Lytechinus pictus: one gene and its partner. The protein of the gene in region 1 interacts with the protein of each later gene in a pairwise test. Links are inferred from orthologs where the notes say so. Each region holds a gene or a part of one and is shown in the gene's direction. Other genes may lie near its edges.

What was found.
Region 2: the proteins of N-terminal kinase-like protein (region 1) and RAB6-interacting golgin-like interact in a two-hybrid assay, tested with the Homo sapiens proteins (2 studies listed by BioGRID and IntAct). The link is inferred for Lytechinus pictus from reciprocal best matches to the Homo sapiens genes SCYL1 and GORAB.

Annotation. Positions count from the first base shown.
Region 1 is NC_087251.1:6,312,193-6,322,731, forward strand, and holds the start of N-terminal kinase-like protein, read left to right. Parts: upstream 1-6,571; 5' UTR 6,572-6,866; coding exon 6,867-6,980; intron 6,981-10,539. UniProt on the Homo sapiens protein: Regulates COPI-mediated retrograde protein traffic at the interface between the Golgi apparatus and the endoplasmic reticulum. Involved in the maintenance of the Golgi apparatus morphology.
Region 2 is NC_087259.1:24,658,780-24,668,268, reverse strand, and holds the start of RAB6-interacting golgin-like, read left to right. Parts: upstream 1-4,890; 5' UTR 4,891-4,976; intron 4,977-9,489.

The DNA of each region.
Region 1 (10,539 bases):
TCATAATTAAAGGGGAAGTTTACCCTGACAAAAAGTTTATTGTAAAAATAGAAAAAATGATTTAAAAAATATTGCCGAAGGTTTGAGAAATATCCATCAAATAATTAAAAACTAATGATGATTTTAATTATTTGATTTGTGATGTCATATGTGAGCAGCATTTCTACATAGCGAATGGTAAAAAAAATCAATGAAATATAATTTTCTCAGAAAATTGAAAATGGTATTCGCTGTACCTTTTTGTATATCAATAGACAAATAATTTCACACTGGATCATGAAAAGAAAACAAAAATAAGTCATCAGGAACCATTACAGAAATGAAATTAATGCATTTTATATTACATAACATATGGGGCAGCTGCTCGTTTATGACATCACAAATCCAAAAATTAAAATTCTAATAACTTTTTTAATCTTTAACGAATTTTCCTCAAACCTTCACCAATATCTTTTATTATTTTTTCTGCAATTTTTATAACAAACTTTTCTTCAGGGTGAACTTCTGCTTTAAGTCAACTATATAATTTAAGTCCTATTCTGAATATAGAATCAATTTCATGTAATTCTTGTTATTAATTAGGAAATCATTCTATTGAACAGTAAAATTGAACCACTTCCAGAAGCATATGAAGTAACCTGTACTTTGCCTTTAACAAATTTTAATCAATTGAGTCCCATACTTAAGGTATGTTCCAAGAAATGGTAATATTTGTAATTGACTTCAAAATGTAAATTTGCTTAATCAGATCAGCATCATCAGGGTCTCCCTCTCATGTCCCTGATCAGATCTATCTGTAATAATTATTTTGTAAGAATCGGACCAGCAATAAATTTCTTTTTCCTTTTTTTTCTTCAAAATTGGGACCTAAAATTGACTTGTTATTGATTGAAGAGTTTCTTGCATTACCCCTTTTATTCATACAAATCAAAAGATATACTACAAGATCACTACATAAGTAATGACTCAATTGTCTATTTCAAAACTAAACTACTTACACGATGGATGGTCGGCTTTCTTGAATATTGCAAGTTTTATGATAATTACTGTTTTCCTTCAAAAGGAAAACGGAAGGTTTTGGGGCAATATAAATATTAGTCATTTGTTGGAACTGTATCTCTTTCTTAGAATACAATATGAATTCAAAGAAACAATCATTTGACTATTGGTCCTTTATTTCATGGAAATATGTTATTTTGTTAATTATATTCTCAAGTGAAGAAATCCACTTTGATATTGTATTCAGTTTTTGAGAATCAATGTGACCAACACATCTAAGCAAGTCACCTTTTCATATCCTCATATATTTCTTTCTATTCCTTTTTTTTTATTATAATTTTTTTTAATAAAACTTATATATTAGGTTGGATTTATGAAAACAAAATCATTTACCACAGAAAATATACAAAAAATATGACATGCTTCATAGTTGCCAATTTGAGTTTGAATTTGTCCACACTGGTCTGCTGGGGACTGTTTCATGAAGGACTTAAATTTATGGTAACTTTGCCATTAACATAACTCATAATAACAGACTCAGCAGTCATCAAAATCAAGTTTCTACAGTAGTTACCATAGAAGAAAGTCTTTATGAATTGACTCCCTTTTTTTGAGGATTTCTTGCTATAACCAACAGTTTTTCATGATGTCAAGTTTGTTTTAAAAAAAAGCATGAAATGGGAGAATATTTTAAGTGAAGAGGTTCAAAAAATCCATCAGGGTTAAAAAAAATTGGATGTTCATGCCTCCATCCACTACTATTCTGACCATCTATCCATCCTGTTTTCATTCTCTATATTACTAAATGACCGTTTGACCACTGCTGTACAGATGGGGGGGGGGGGGGCTCTTGCCCCAAAATTTTTCATGACCAAGAAAAAAAAGAGAAAAGGAAAGGGATAAGGGTGAAATATTATGTCAAACTTTATCACAAACTTGGATTTTTGATGCCATAGAAATAAAATAATAGATTTTAAAAGGAGTGTAGCTCTAAAAAATGAAAGGTAAAGTCACAATCTTTGTCAGTGCCCAATATGTTACAAAAAAGAAAATTCAATCAAAATCTATTTTACTGTCGTGAAAAACATGATCTGCCAAAGCAGTTTACAAGTAACCACTTTTTAATCAAGAAAGTATAAGAATGAAAACAAAAAATGAAATTGTGTGTGTGTTATTTGTAACCATACAGTTCCGGGGGGGGGGGGGATATTTAAGTCTATGGTTATCATTTGGGTAGAGGTGCAACATGCTTTCCGGGAAGTTATTTTCCAAGATCATTTTGGGTAGTGAGAAATTCCGGGAAGTTATCATCTACAGGACTGATATTATTTTCTGAATATTATGTCAAAATCTATCTCTCAATTGGATCGCTGTAATGAAAATGTCAAAAATCTTGCCCGCTTGCCTCACTCGCTCGCAATTCTTTTACCATATTTCGCCCCCTCAAAATTTTTGGCTCATTACGGCACTGGGCCCTATTTTGTGAATAGAAGAGAAGTATAGAAAGACTGGAGAACATTTGCATAATTCCGAGATATTATTGCAGGAACTTTCAGAGTAAATTTTGAAAAGTGGAGTACCGGTACTGCCGCAGATAATATTTTGGTGCTGCGGCATATACTGTATATACATGTATGTGCACAGTACAGCTGCAGTGTCATATCGTACGTACCGTACGCTGCCCAATTCTCGCTCACCCCGGCCTCACAAGCGCGATGCGCACGCTGCTTATTATGATTATCATTTTAAATTCGTCCCAAATTCCTTATTGTTTAGTATACTCGCATAATTAAGCACCCAAGAGGAGACCATTACATGAAAAAACAAAGTGTGGAAAAATAAAATCAATCCCTTAATAAATCATCGTGAAATACTGCTTTAAATGTAAAGTAACCCGATAACTGTTTGAACGGGTTTGAACTTCGATTAACTGTACCGCAACTGCACCAAATTACGTGTTTTTTTCAATCACTTTAAAAACTCCTAAAAAACAGTGAAAAATGTTATATTCTTATATGATGAATGAAAATGTGAGAGTCGCAGGTGCGGGAGGTCCTGATATGTCGTCATGACAAATTTTTTTAGAATGAATATTTGTTGTGTGAATGAATTAGCGAGGGCATACCTTGAGATAGCAGCCTGCCCTAACTCCGCTCACCCTGATTGTAGTATGATAATCATTGTAAGAGTATACTATATAGGGCCTAAACGGAATTGTCATAATTTTTCAAGTAGACTTTTCTTTAGAATCTGATTTTTTGTGTCAGTTCCTCTATTTTGATGGTGCTGAACATGAATCCGCTTGTTGCCAGTTTCATAAATGCCTCCTTCCGCCGTTGCCATGGCAACTGATTAATATGTTTAAAAAAAATAACATATTGAGCCGATATATATGGCATATTACCCTGTCAATTTAATGGTCCAATCTATCATTCTTAAGCCTTCCAAATTCAATTTCTAGATATAGGCCTATCAAGTCATCAAAGTATTTGCAAAAGATCCATTGCCATGGTAACGGCTTATCTTTCCCGCAGAAAATACAATTGTCTTGATTGCCTGCAGAGACAGGGCGCCGCTTTTTCTGACGGCGCCGCGCGGGCGGCGTCGTAAACATTGAAATAAAACAGGATAAGTTTGTGAAATGTAATCATAAGTTTGAAATAGGACTATAGGTTTCTATAGCTTTCATGAATCTTAGAAATAAGGGAGTCAGTGAAAATCCTATAGTGAGTTTCAGGTCATGCCACGGTCAAAGGTAATTTAAGGTCAATGAACTTTGGTCATGTACGCCTTTGGGGGCATTTATTGAATTGCCATCATAAATCAACATTATGGTGGGAAAAGATGAATGGTGGAAAATGACAATGAAAATGCCAAAATCTACATAGGTTCGACCAACTCATTTGAATTAAATTTCGAAAACAACAGAGTGTTCTGCATGGATATAAGTTCATTTGAATGCATGGTAATGGTATGTTGCCATGGTAACGCCTGATTACTCTACTAATTCAACTCGTGAATTTAATATGAGATGAAAATTAAGTGTAAACAATTCAGGAATGTCTGAATTTATTTCAGGTCATAATTCAGTATAGGCCTACCTCATAAGAAAAATCGCTTCAATAAGAATAGTGGTAATATTTGCTTGTACATAAGAGAAATCAGCTCGATTGATCAGCCCATAATATTATGCTCATTATGTTAGCTATAGGGCAGATTATAACTGTAATACATGAACAATAAAGTAAGTCTTAAAGGAGATCGAAAAGAGATCGAGTGTCATATGAATTCATGAACAAAATTTTTTTGCTTGTCAAATTTTCTAGCCCCTTGCCCCCCTACTTTTTGGGAAAGATTTCCGCCCCTGATTCAGAAAAAACGAGACATTTTAAGCACTTTTGTAATGATGTTTTATCTTACAAACCGAGAATGACTTGAAAACAAGACATGAATAATGAAACAAACGGTCAATGCGGGCGCGAAGAGCAGGCTGAATAGTTATTTTGTTCTAAATGAAGGGTATAGGTATTTGTCGGTCCCCAACTCTCATTTTCGTCTTGTCTTCTTCCTTTTATTTTCCTTCCTCATAATCTTTTTTTTTTCATTTCGTTATTTTCCTATTCCGCGCGGCCTGGCCCAAAGTGTTTGGGAAAAAGTTTTACAAAAATTATCTTGCTCTATAACGAATCTTAAGGTCATCAATGCTAAAAAATGAGACTTCGATGCTTATCAATACCGACTAACAAACAACTATAGGGATAGTTTTTTTTTTTTGCTCTGGGGTGAAGCCCCTCCCCGGTTCCGCGGCCCCTGGCATGTCTTCTAGGCTATTATCGATCGTAATGCTGTTTTTTTATGTGGCCTATTCATATTTTGATGATTACCAATATAATTTACTCAGAGTATGAAATTTAGGGATAATTTAATTGGAATGAAACAAGGATTTTATACACGTCACCTCAAATAGATGTGTAATTAGGCCTATGTGATAACTTATGAGCCTAATGATACATATATTTTATGTTAGGCCCATTATCTGCATGCCTATCTGATTCATATCTATAAATCTAAATAAAATAAAGAATTTAAATGAATAAATAAAAATATATCCCACTAATGGGCCTATATAGGCCTGTTGAACTCGGTCAGTAGTTTCCTGATTGATTTGAATAGATGAAACTTTGTCATGTTTATGGATATTTCCTTTTTTTAATTATGTTTTGTTTGAAAACGGAACAGGATTTAAATTGACCAATTTATTTTGAACAAATAGAATTTTCTTGAGTGCCCTTTTCCCTCTCCTATTATTGACGGGAGTTCGAATGTGAACTTAAACCAGCGAGGTGATTAAATATTATTGTTGTTTTTCAAGATGAGCTTTTTTTTATGAAAGTCAATATAAGGGAATCCCCCCAAAAGTATTATCGGAGTTCAGGGTTCAAGGTCTATTCACATCAACATTTCACATTTTCAAAAAATCAACAATTCAATACAAACAATAATATTATACAATACAAGTTTTCATAGATAAGCATAAATCGTAAAAATATGAAATGTATATTATATACATAATATAACAATAAAAAAAGTACTAGAATGTATTCTTGAAATTGGTTCTAAAATAATGACAAAGAAAGAAAATGAGAGATGTGGATATGAGGGAGCTAAAAGTAAAAGCAAAGCTTGTTGGTTGAAGGCTCCAAAGAATATGCAGTGAATAAAAATAATTATTTCTAATAGTAAAAAAAATAATAATGTAAATCAATGGTCAATGACATCAGGGGGCAATGAGCGGAAGGGACGACAAGGGGGGGGGCACTCAAGTTGGATGAGTGGCGAAAATGATTACTTTGAATGGCGAATGTGCTAAAAGAGCTTTATAGCGTTTTATTTATAAGGTGTAAATTCATCAATATTGATATTTTAAGTTAAGTTAACTTAACTATATCAAGCATGTTATTCTATTATATACTGTATATTGTTGTTTAAAACCTTTTTGTTCATGCTGACTCTTTTATCCGCTTCCGATTTTATGTAAGCACCCTTATAGCACTGGTTAGGGTCATGGTCTTTATTGACAACAGTAATTTATTTGACCCAGTGGGTGCTCAATCTATACTCTGTTAATGTTGTTTTACATTGTTCCAATTTCATATACTTTTCATTTCCGAAATAAATAAATAATGATACACTCATAAAATTCATGAATGGATTAGAATCATATTCATATTATTAGACAATTGAAATCAGTTAAAAGTTTGTCGGGAAAGGTTTTTTGAAAATATGTATTTTATAAAAAAATACGGAATAAAGTTTGGAGGATAAAAAAAATGATATAGGCGTAGATCAGTAACAAAAAATTTGAGGCCCTAAAAATAATTGCACTTGGCGAAAGGAACATTTTATACAGTGCATAGTACTATAAAACTTGTAAACAATACATTTAATCACAACAAAATTACACACTTTCTCACTCAGAAGTGCAAGAAAAGGGTAGAAAAAAGAGTTAGACAGTATCAGGCCTTATAAACTACATGTATGAATGCGCGCGCTAAGTGAGCGGAGTTAGGGCAGTGGTGAGCGGCGAATGGGACAGGCGCAAGGGGTGCCGAAAACGGCGAATTACACAGCGGTGCTTTGAAGACATATAATTATTATCCTATGAAACAATTTTCCAGTATTTTCTCTTTCAGGTGACATATAGAAGTAAGGGTATCATAGCTAATTGAATGAAACATAAAGGAAAATACGTAAACTGAGCGACGATTGGGCAGCGTACGGTACGGTATATTTGTGACGTGTAATTGACGTGTTGATCTACCGAGAACTGATTGAGCCAAAGCTAAGGAAAACAAGAAGTTTCGACGATGTGGTCATTTTTGTCGAGAGATCCAACGAGGAGCTTTCCTTTTGAAATAGGAGAGAAGGTGGATGGCTTAGAAGATAAATCAATTTGGACTTTGCATCACGGAAAACGAAAGGTAAATATTAAATTAATGGCTAATCGCCTACCAACACAGTCCCACACGCAGTGTTTCATGTTTCATTCCGGATATTCCTGTCTCTTATCAAAATTCAAATTCAATAATTCAGCTGTCATCCAGGTAGGTATGTTGCAAAAAAATAAATTTGAGAAATGAGGTGTTTGCTTCATAGCATCATTTAGAGTTCATCAAGACCTTTCATTAATACCTCATTCATTTCATAGCCCCAGTAACAAGCACTCTGGGGCTACACCGCTATTCCAACGTGTACGTGTGTTGGAAAAGTCGACGCCAGACGGGTACGTTTTGGCCTTGAATTTCCAGCAAATTCAAGGCGTTCTTTTTGCTATAATTTTATAATGACGCTTAAATATCGAAATCAATGTAGACGAGTCTGTGCAGGGGCATAACAGGGGTATATAAGAGGGGGCATAGCACATATGCACATGTCGCGTGTGGAAGATAATACTTACGTAATGTAAGTCACGAGCACTAGCGTACCTAGGGGGGGGGCAGTCTGCCCCCCCCCCCCCGATGAGTCACAAACCCATGCAAATTACGTATCTCTGCCCCCCCTGACGAGCTTGAAGACCTTTTTTTTTTTTTTTTTTTTGCTTGTCAAATTTTTTGGCGGCCGATTTTGCCCCCTGTGGAAAATCCTAGGTACGCCACTGCCCGTACTACATGCATGTTGGTAGCACTGGGACCTCTGGATATTAACTAATCCAATTTAATTACAGATGGCAGATTTTTTTTATTATCTGAGTAGATCCCCCCCCCCCCCCGGATTATTTGTTCTCACATGACTTTCCTTCCATTTTACATTTCCTTTCGTTCTTTCTTTCTTTCATTTTTTCTTTCTTTCTTTCTTCCTTCCTTTGCTCTTATCATGTTTTTTTTCAGGTGAAATCCACTCGGGGGATGGCCAGCCATGCCCCCATCTGTTTACGCCTCTGAGATGTATATGATCTTTATCTTCGATTTTCCAAAGTAGGGGGGTGCATTTTCTCAAGTAAAATTTGACAACCCCCCAAAAAAAGGTTATCACAGAAAAATTGTCATTTTGTCTCGCGTAAGATTTGACAAGTAAAACAAAAAAGATGGTTACTAAAAATAAAAGACTGTCATTTTGTCCGTGTAATATTTGGCAAGCCTCCCCCCCCCCAAGGTTAACATATCGGAGGCGCGATAGCTCAGTCGGTAGAGCGGGGGTTTCGGATTCCGGTGACCCAGGTTCGATTACCAAGTGGTGCGCTAGTGCCCTTTGGTAAGGCATTTATCCTCATTACCAGGTCCCTCGGAGAGGACCTTAAGCCGTCGGTCCCCTGGTTGCTTGCTCACAGGCATTCGTGCTTGTTTAGCAGTCAGGTAAATAATCTCGATATAACATAACATTAAAAAAAAGTGAAGGTCATTTTGTCCTGCGTGAAATTTTAAAAGTAATAAAAAGATGGTCACTAAAATTGAAGTTCATTTTGTTTGTGAAATATTTGGCAAGCCCCCCCCCCCCCCCAAAAAAAAAAAGGTTTTAACTAAAAATGATTGAAGGCCATTTTGTTCCTCTTAAAATTTGTCAAGTATAAAAAAAAATCACTAAAAAATGAAGGTCATTTGTCCCACGTAAAATTTGACAAGCCCCCCCCCCTAAAAAAAAAAAAAAATGAAAGGTAACTGATAATGATTGAAGATCATTTTTTTCTTGCGTAAAATTTTCAAAAAAAGTGTGTCACTATTTGGCGAGCCCCCTACCCCCCCCCCCCCAAAAAAAAGGTTTAACTAATAATGATTGAAGGTCATTTTGTCTCTCGTAAAATTTGACAAATAAAAAAAAAGTTGTCACTAAAAAAAGAAGGTCATCTTGCCGCGCGTTATATTTGGCAAGCCCCCACCCCCCCCCTAAAAAAGTTTGTCATTAAATATAGAAAGTCATGTTGTTCAAAGTAAAATAAATTTGAGAAGCAAAAAAGAAAAGGACAAAAAAGAGCAAAGAATATGAACAAAATATCCCCATTACAAATATTGCTGTGATTCTCATAAGGAGGTGGGGGGGACATAAGTTTGTACGAACGACATATTTTTTTTTACATCCAAAATATTGACTATGAATCTCAAAAGGTGGAACGGGCCAGAAATGCTCAACCACCCCCCCCCCCCCCCCGATCTGCCACTGATTCCAATCGATAATGACTTTTCCCTGCAATACTGATGCTTGAAATCAAGATACTGAAGATTGATATATTGTAATATAAATTATGAACGTCTGACAAAAAGATAACCAACCGATCACCTGACCGATCAGCTGACCAGTACGTGAATCACATCGGAGTTGATCAGTCCCCACAGCGTTTGGAACGCTCACCAAGAATTCAAGAAAAAAGACTGAAAATGTAAGTTTAACCTCAATCCATTAACTTTTAACCATTGTAATAGATTATTTAAGATGTTAAGAACTAATTTATACCAAAATTTTTACCATCCAATTTGTATTAAGGCGTACATTTGCCAAAGTCCTTGTGTGCAAATAGAAACGGCAATGTCTAACCGGTTTTATCACTTATGTCGCCTATGAGGTCCATACATGTAATGTTGGACCTCATTGGTACTAGGAGTGGTAACAAGGGGCCGATTGCGCGAAAGGGTCTTTGGCTTTGCCTTTGCAAGAACCGTCTTTCGTGTCGCCCATTTATTATGATGTGCCATGTGAAACGCATTTTAAATAAATTATACGTGCAAAAATATTTTATTCATCCGTTAAAGTAAACAAAATCTTTGTTTATTAAATGATGTGATATATCATGAAATTAATTGTATACAAATTGGTTTTAATGCTACTACTAGTACTAGCTAACAAATTTTATTTGTTAATCATACATTTCAGAAATATCCCGCATACAGCGCATCATAAAAGATGGGCGACACGAAAGACGGTCCTTGAAAAGACCCTTTCGTGCAATCGGCCCAAGGAGGTTATGGTATGAACTATGAATGATGGTGGGCCCCAAGTCTGCGCTGATCCTAACAACATTACAATTTGAGTTGAGATTTTAACATGAATTTCTTCTCTTTTCACAAAATCTTTTAGTTAATAATGTTCCTTCTATTATTACGAGTAGGTGTACCAAATATCTCATACAAATTTGAAAGAAATATAGAATTTTCTTGGAAAAAAACCTCGGGCAGTCATTTTCAGATTGAATAAAAAAAATGGTAACTCATGTCTGCGCACCCATTCACTTTCCACACGATTCGGGTATTTTAATGAGAAAGGCTGCATTTTGAGGCCGTGACATGAAACGCCCAAAATTAATTATTTTTCCACCATTTTGAGTAGGACTTTTTAATGAATATCTGTCTATATGTTGCATGTGTAAAGTTTGTGTTCGTTGCGTATCTTCTTATACTAGAATTGCGCAGATATGACAAGGGGGACTGCACAGACTTGGGGGGAACTTGCCATATTGTTTTTTAAAACAAAAGTTGTGACCTTTATTGGGACCAAGGTGCACTAATAGAAAACAACAATGCGCATACATTGGCATGTGGAAGTGCCCAACAA
Region 2 (9,489 bases), on another chromosome or scaffold:
ATTTTGTTAAACCTCGATCAAGTTGCCTTTCGATCCCTAAATAAGCTATAGTGCGCATAGATCATAACGAGAGGCAATCGGTGAAAGAGCATATAACTATATCACTATAGCGTTTCTTGATAAGGTTTTGCAAATTGTATCAATATGTGAATTCCATGATAATTTATCAATAGCATATACCTATTCTTATGAAAATTTTAGAAAAATGAAAGTTCTAAAACACAATTTGATCAGAGAGATGATAAAATATAACTGAATAGTTTTGATAGAGTAATGTGGAGGCAGGTGCACTGGAGTCGGAAGTAGGCCCCATAGCTGGCCCCTGCAATAAGGTTGTGTGCACCAGTGGAGGCACTAGGCCGGGAGGGGCATGGGGGCATTTGTCTCCGTCGGGAGCGTTGCCAGCCCACCCGTTGCCCCCCCCCCCCCCAAAAAAAAAAAAAAAAAATAATAATAATAATAATAATAATTACGCATTTAGTAAATTCATGAGCAACCTACTCGAGCTGTAAAGTGCTCCAAAACAGCATTTTTCATTCTTCAAATTTTTAAAACTATCTCATCCGGTCAATGTCAGCCCCCGGCACCGTTCACTGACTAAACATCTATGGCTTGACTTATCTGACTAGAAGTGTCTATATATCATTTAAGTTTTAGGCCCTACCGCATAAATTTTCTTGCTCGGAGCTCCACTCCTTCATAGACAGGCAATTTTTTTTTCGTAGGTAGGGCTATATGGGCGGGTGCCAGTTATAAGCTCGATATTCCCTGATATTTTACCCGATTTGATAAACTTCTACTAGTACATCGTTTTGCAGTTTCACCAAAGAAAAAGGCTGCATGCCTGCATTTATCTACGAGGCTCATGAGTATATTCTCGTAAAAATGCACAAGATATACTGTACGTAGGATGGTTATTTTGTCATTTTCCTATTTTGTTTATTTCCTTTGACTTGTTTTTTCTTCAGCTGTTTTACATTTCTGTTCCGTCTATATAGACTTGAGTTCATTTGCATTTCTTTTCAGCACTGCCCTTGAACTTAGGTTATGATATTCAATGGTCATTCATTCATTCTACTCTGAATTCCTTTTCTCTCCGACATTCTCTTTGTCATCTTCATTCCTTCCCTATTCTCTCTTCAGGTGTTCCACTCATTGCATCCCTAGTCTGACTCCTTAGTTTCTGTTTTATTACACAATCACCCAGACATCCTTCATATTCCTTATTGGTTTATCTTATGTATTGGGTTCTTACATTTTAGTTCGATCCTTCCATTATTGGTTGTTATTTCTAATTCAAATAAATTATGTAAATTGTATATCATTCTGAGTTCAGCTGAGGCAACGTAGCCCAGGCCCAGAGATGCACTACCAGACTTCTTTGGTTCTGTTCAATTCCGGGGGGGGGGGGGGCACTCGACCAAAAAAGTGGTAGTGGTGTGCCGCGGGCGAGGCAAAAAACGGGGGCCTTGGAGCGGGCTTATTGTAAAAAGGAGGGTCCTCGGAACGGGCTTCGGAACTACAAATGTTTGTGAAAACGGGGGTCCTCGGAACGGATCTCCGTATCTCTGTGAATGCGTATGCATCCCTATGGAACGGGCAATCGTGCATGACGCAGCTAGGGCGGCCTCCGCTGGGTGCGCTCGCGCTTAGGCGATGGTCGAAAAGCGCTCTACGGCCGCTTTTCACCAAAATTGTAGCAGATCAATGCGACCGGAACGGCGTAACGAAAAATATGCAAAGCTTTGGAGCGGATTTCTTTCTTCTTTTTTCTCGATAAGAAGGAAATGCTATGCCTTGGAGCGGCTTTCTTTGTTTTTTTTCTCAATAGGACAAAAATGCTATGCCTTGGAACGGAAATTTGAGTGTAAAAATGGGGGTCCCCTCCGCGGCACATACCCACTATGCATTATATACTGAGTGCCCCCCCCCCCCGGGGTTCAATTCAACTTGCGTCTCTACTTCAGTTTCACTTATTTCCCCTTTGGTTCGATGATTGAGTTAATAGAACTTTATCATTTCTATACCCCTGAACTTATAATTTGTACACCTTACAATACAACTATTTTTAATATAGAACTTAAGTAACTTCACTTTATGATATGTCAACACTTAAAAGGTTACTTTAATCTTGCCGCCCCCCTATATAGCCCCTCCCTCCATACCCGGCAAAGTTATGCACTCGATCACCGTCGATCATGCATGGTTCATGAATATTCAAGACTCGACTGTCAAGCCCAACGTTCACGAGCTTTAATCCCTCCAACTCAGTGTAAAAAGTGGGCGGAGCTTAATCGGATTTTCGGGCCTAGCAACCCTGTTAGCAACGCCTGTTAGCATCGTTTGGCTCAATCTCCATAATGTCTGCGATATTAAAATCCTACAAACTGATGGAATTATTCAAATTTAGTAAGGCTATGAATGTTTATCATTTACACTGACTATCGGTGTACAAACTCATACCGAATTTAATGGCAATTGCCTGTTATATTACGAATTATCAGTCATTTTGATGAGTGATGCAAAGTGCCAAAATTTATGAAAATATAGCGTAAATTTTATATAGCATTTCAAAATCCTTATTTTCAATATCCCCATAATTTTTTGTTGTTTTAAAAAATATCTTATTACATTAACTAGAATTTTCCCGACCTGATAACGTTAATAGATTACTGTTTCTCGGCTTTATGAGGAAATGCCAGACCTTCAAAATCAGGTTAATTATTGTTATATTTCTAACAGAAAATTGTTAGATTCGAACTACTATACCAACTGTACGCCCGAATGAGGGTTATCATCTCGTATTGTTGTGTAAATGATACATATCAATTCATTTTAGGAGTGTAGTAATCCATGTTAGATAATCTTTTTCACGATGAGTTTTGTAATGAAGAGAAAAAATCAAGTTCATTCTTGGCACGCGAGCCGCAGAATGATAAATTTTAGCGTGCGCAGACGGGGCTGATCCCTAGTGTGTCGGACGGGATTATCTAGTCCCATACTGGTCATGCTGGTTTCGGGTGGTATATTCCACGATGACCACTGTCCAGTTTTATAGTGCTTAATGTTGATACTTAATCTGTGAAATGAATAGTTTACCGATATCTAAAAATGCTCTAATATACCTGACACATGAATGATTTCATTTTTGAGAATTATCATTTCTTTCGACCTGCATGAATCACAAAAAGTCAATCATTAGTCCCCTTTCTCTGCTACTGAGACTGACGAGGTGGTAGAGGGAGGGGGGGGGGGGGGTAATCATCTCACCGTGCTCACTGCCGCCCCAGCCAAGTGTGTTTGATACATTTTAATTGCAAGGGCTTCTCCTCCTCCTTTATCTCCCTGTTCTCTCTTTCTTTGTTTTTGCTTTCGTGCCATTATATATCTCAAAGATCAGCTCTCCCTATTTAAATTTCCACTGTCTTGTATTTTTCCTTCCCTCCTGTTATGGTCAAGCTCTCAAATAAAGCTTGCCCTATTAATATTTGACCCTCTGTCATTCTACCGGCCTGCAATCTCCTTTTGGCCCCTTAATTCTTTTTTTCTCTCGGCCTCGACCCCTCCCCATGCAATCTATTTCATCCAACCCTTTTACTCCCCCAACTCACCATGATTATAATTTATAATCACAAGAGCCTGGTAATAGGCATATTGAAGGTCTATAAATATTGATACTACTTTCATTTTAACAAATAATTTGAGTCCCCCCCCCCCCCCCCGGCGGTCATGCAGGTTGGCTTCATATGTTCCATAATGGTAAAGGCGGTCGTGGAATTTACAAAACATATAGTTGTTTTATATTTTCTGTTTAACATATACCGAGATGCTGATGACATTGGACAAACTTAACACGATATTTCCCAAACCTATATTTTTAACTATACAGTCAATGTTACACATTCTTGACATCAGTTTGACTTTTTGTAATTAAGGAAAGAAATAATAATCACCGAAAATGAAATAATTTATGTGTCAGGTATATTCCAAGTATTTTTAGACATCGGTAAAGTATGAATTTCATAGACTGAGTATCGAAATAAAACACTAAAACTGCACAGTGGTCATCGCGAGGGGAAAAGGTACGTGAAATATACCACCTGACTCCAGTATCGGACTGGATAATCTGAACGGACAGCCCGGGCGATCAGCCCCGTCTGCACACGCTAAAATTTTGCATTCTGCGGCTCGTGTGCTAAGAATGAACTTGATTTGTCTGTTCATTACGTAACTCATCGTGAAAAATGTTATCCAACATTGATTGCTACACTCGTAATATTTAATGTTATGTATGATATACACAAATTTATGTGATGATAACCCTTCTTCGGGAGAACAATGGTATAGTTGTTCGAATCTAACTATTTTCTTTTAGAAATATAACAAAAAATAACCAGATTTTGAAGGCCTGAAATTTTCTTATGAATGATGGAGAAAATAAGCTACCAACGTTATCAGGTCTGGAAAATTCTAGTTAATGTAATAAGATATTTTTTAAAACAACAAAAAATTATGGGGATATTGAAAATAAGGATTTTTGAAATGCTATATAAAATTTACGCTATATTTTCATAAATTTTGGCATATTGTATCACTCATCAAAATGACTGGTAAATCGCCTTCTTACACACACTTGCTTATAATTTCGATATAGGTTGATACACCGATAGTCAATATAAATGATAAACATTCATAGTCTCACTAAATTTAAACGATTTCATTAGTTTTTAGGATTTTAATATCGCAGACATTTTGGAGAGTGAGCAAGAAGATGCTCGTAAGCGTCGCTAACAAGATTGTTAGGCGACCTACCGCGAGAGGGCTTTTATAATGGCGGGCTCCACTGAGTTGATACATAGCCTATAGGCGGTGAACGTACGTGCGTTAGAGCCAGAGCGAGCAGAGGACACGTCAACAATTCTTGTCAACAAATTTAATTCAGTTGTTTTTGGAGTGAAATGTTTAGGAGGGAAGTTGTAAGTATTGCTTAAATCAGTCAAAAATGGGCAAGTAAAGTTGAAGCTTTGATGATATCTTTTTAGTGTATTTAGTATTTTTCCAAACAAACTTCGGCATATTTTGCTGCTGACAGGGTAACCCAGGGAGCTCCGGCCCTCGCAGCGGGCGCCGGAGCTCCCTGGGTTACTGACAGGGTTACTGTAGTCCCACGTTATGTTTCTTACGTTAGCTTGATCACTGCCAAGTAGATGAAACTAAGTTAGACGAACAGTTTCGTAGTATCGTACCGGTATACCGGTATCGTAGTTGCAGCAAACTATTTCATGAGAAAGTCTTTTTAATAAATCAAGATTAATTGTTGTCACCATATTATCATTTATCTAGATCTGGTACTTAATGTCTTAAATGGGCATTATCGTGAAATTGGGAACCAGTTCCTAATTTCCAAAGGAGACTTTTTCACGACAAGACATGACCTACCTACCTTTTCGAGCTTGTTCACTGCTTCACCGCAGCTGGCGCGCTGATTCTAGATAAAGTAATCCTTCAAAGAGCTTAGATCAGAAAGATTGATTTCGTCGCCGTCTTTTCTCTACTCGCTAAAATGGGAACCAGCGTGAAAACTCCCCATAGAGTTGTACACACTGGTTCCCATTTTAGCGAGTAGAGTAAACTAGTTTACTCTACTCGCTGAAATGGGAACCAGTGCGTACAACTCTATGGAAAACTCCACATAGAGTTGTACACGCTGGTTCCCATTTCAGCGAGTAGATTAAACTAGTTTAATCTACTCGCCAAAATGGGAACCAGCGTGGAAAATTCTCAATAGAGTTGTACACGCTGGTTCCCATTTCAGCGAGTAGATAAAGACAGATTACTAGTAATATTTATTTCGTTAGTGATGATTCTCTGACGAAATAAATCTGATTAATAAACTGTCTTTATCTACTCGTGAAAATGGGAACCAGCATTTATAATTCAAAAGAATTTTCTTAGATGGTTCCCATTTTGAAGAGTAGATATAGAGAGAGATTGCCAATGAGATTTATTTCGTCAGTGATGACTCTGACGAAATAAATTTCACTAGTAAACTGTCTTTATCTACTCGTGAAAATGGGAACCAGCTATGCTGGTTCCCATTTTCACGAGTAGATAATACAGTTACAGTTTACTAAAGTGATTCATCCCCAGATATATCTTGTTTGTGATTTATTTAGTGAATCGATTTTGTAATATAAGTTTTTGTCAACATTGTGAAAGTGGCAGAGTGGTCTTGAAGAGCAGGGAAATGCGGGGTAGATGGATAATTACAAAAATTATGATTCCGCGGAATAGTCGATGTCATCTGAAAACTTGTCCACCCGTGGCAAACTGAGCCCGTTAAACATCGCATGAGGAAAGAGGTAACCAGTTGTGTGAGGAGCTTCGCATCGTAAACAAAGTCTCTCGCATCAATTCTTTTCAAAATCGCCGAAGCGAAGATTCTTTACATATTGTGGTGAAAGGAGGTACAAGTTCAATTTGGCTACCAGTTCCCAAAAGCACGGAATGGCCCTTAAATGTATGGTAGGGGGTCCTAAAGCTGCGCGGGTCCTAAAGCTACGCACCACTCGTCGCGCATCCAGTTTTTGTCTCACCTGCATAGCAGAGTGAGACTATAGGCGCCGCTTTTCCGACGGCGGCGGCGACGGCGGCGTCAACACCAAATCTTAACCTGAGGTTAAGTTTTTGAAATGACAGCATAACTTAGAAAGTATATGGACCTAGTTCATGAAACTTGGCCATAAGGTTAATCAAGTATTACTGAACATCCTGCCTGAGTTTCATGTCACATGACCAAGGTCAAAGGTCATTTAGGGTCAATGAACTTAGACCATGTTGGGGGAATCAACATCAAAATCTTAACCTAAGGTTAAGTTTTTGAAATGTCATCATAACTTAGAAAATATATGGACCTAGTTCATGAAACTTATACATAAGGTTAATCAAGTATCACTGAACATCCTGCATGAGTTTCACGTCACATGACCAAGGTCAAAGGTCATTTAGGGTCAATGAACTTGGCCGAATTGGGGGTATCTGTTGAATTACCATCATAACTTTGAAAGTTTATGGATCTGATTCATGAAACTTGGACATAATAGTAATCAAGTATTACTGAACATCCTGTGCAAGTTTCAGGTCACATGATCAAGGTCAAAGGTCATTTAGGGTCAATGAACTTTGGCCAAATTGGGATATTTGTTGAATTACAGCCATAAATTTGAAAGTGTGTTGGTCTAGTTCATAAAACTTGGACATAATAGTAATCAAGTATCACTGAACATCCTGTGCGAGTTTCAGGTCACATGATCAAGGTCAAAGGTCATGTAAGGTCAAAGAACTTTGGCCACGTTGGGGGTATTTGTTGAATTGCCATCATATCTCTATAAGTGTATTGGTCTAGTTCATAAAACGTGGAAATAAGAGTAACCAAGTATCACTGAACATCTTGTGCGAGTTATAGTAGTTTTCAAAATCAGCACTGCTGCTATATTGAATCGCGTGATGCAGGTGAGACGGCCAGAGGCATTCCACTTGTTATGGCAAATGCGCACTCTGTGTGTGGAACTGTGACTGCAGAGTGACGAACGATTCCTATTCAATTTTTTCAACAGAGGCTGCAGTAAATCTCTAAATGCAGAGAAAACCAACAACTGTTTGGAATTTAGGAGTTATATTCGCTTAAATTTCATTTTATCCTATAATAATATGAATATATTTTAGAAATTGAGGCACAGGAAATACTATTTTTTTGCATGATAAATCGAGTGCGTAGCTTTAGGACCCCTTCTACATCGGGTGGCGAATGAAGAGGTGTTCGGAAAACATGGCGGGATTTTCGTATTAGTGAGTTTTGCGATATTTTCTTCTTGGTTAATGATCTTTAGAATTTTTGCCACAAATTAGTGAATGATGTTTGTTGAAATATTAAAATTGGGATAGTTTTTATTGTTTGCAAACAAAGTGCGTAGCTTTAGGTCCCCCCATCATAAACTTATCTTTGTGAAATCATGAAATTTTAGCTAAAAAAGAAAAGCATTTTTGTCACACCTGCATAGCAGAGTGAGACTATAGGCGCCGCTTTTCCGACGGCTGCGGCGACGGCGGCAGCGGCGTCAACACCAAATCTTAACCTGAGGTTAAGTTTTTGAAATGACAGCATAACTTAGAAAGTATATGGACCTAGTTCATGAAACTTGGCCATAAGATTAATCAAGTATTACTGAACATCCTGCCTGAGTTTCATGTCACATGACCAAGGTCAAAGGTCATTTAGGGTCAATGAACTTAGACCATGTTGGGGGAATCAACATCAAAATCTTAACCTAAGGTTAAGTTTTTGAAATGTCATCATAACTTAGAAAATATATGGACCTAGTTCATGAAACTTATACATAAGGTTAATCAAGTATCACTGAACATCCTGCATGAATTTCATGTCACATGACCAAGGTCAAAGGTCATTTAGGGTCAATGAACTTTGGCCGAATTGGAGGTATCTGTTGAATTACCATCATAACTTTGAAAGTTTATGGATCTGATTCATGAAACTTGAACATAATAGTAATCAAGTATTACTGAACATCCTGTGCAAGTTTCAGGTCACATGATCAAGGTCAAAGGTCATTTAGGGTCAATGAACTTTGGCCAAATTGGGGTATTTGTTGAATTACAGCCATAAATTTGAAAGTGTGTTGGTCTAGTTCATAAAACTTGGACATAAGAGTAATCAAGTATCACTGAACATCCTGTGCACATTTTAGGTCACATGACCAAGGTCAAAGGTCAATAAACTTTGGCCACAATGGGGGTATCTGTTGAATTACCATCATAACTTTGAAAGTTGATGGATCTGACTCTTGAAACTTGGACATAAGACTAATCAAGTATCACTGAACATCCTGTGCGAGTTTCAGGTCACATGATCAAGGTCAAAGGTCATTTAAGGTCAAAGAACTTTGGCCACATTGGGGGTATTTGTTGAATTGCCATCATATCTCTATAAGTGTATTGGTCTAGTTCATAACACGTGGAAATAAGAGTAACCAAGTATCACTGAACATCTTGTGCGAGTTATAGTAGTTTTCAAAATCAGCACTGCTGCTATATTGAATAGCGTGATGCAGGTGAGACGGCCAGAGGCATTCCACTTGTTAATAATTAACGTTACTTAGACTCCGTTAGAGTCTATTTTATTTATTATAGGTATGTGGGACCAGTCCTGCCATGGGTTCATTACATGCCGCCGAGCACAGAAAAATCAAGCCATAGAAGTCGTGTTGTGGACGCCAGAAGTGGCGTCCCAGCACGCGAGACCCACTTGTTAGAAATCTACTGCCATATGCGGTTCTGTGTGCATGGTGTGCGAGTTAGTAGGATAACCTCGCGTGCTCGCACTAGCAGTAGAGGCGCCGGCCAGAAAATTGTCTCAGTTTTCAAAGATTTCTCCACACAAGAAAAAAAAGTTCATTCACCTGTCAAGTGCCG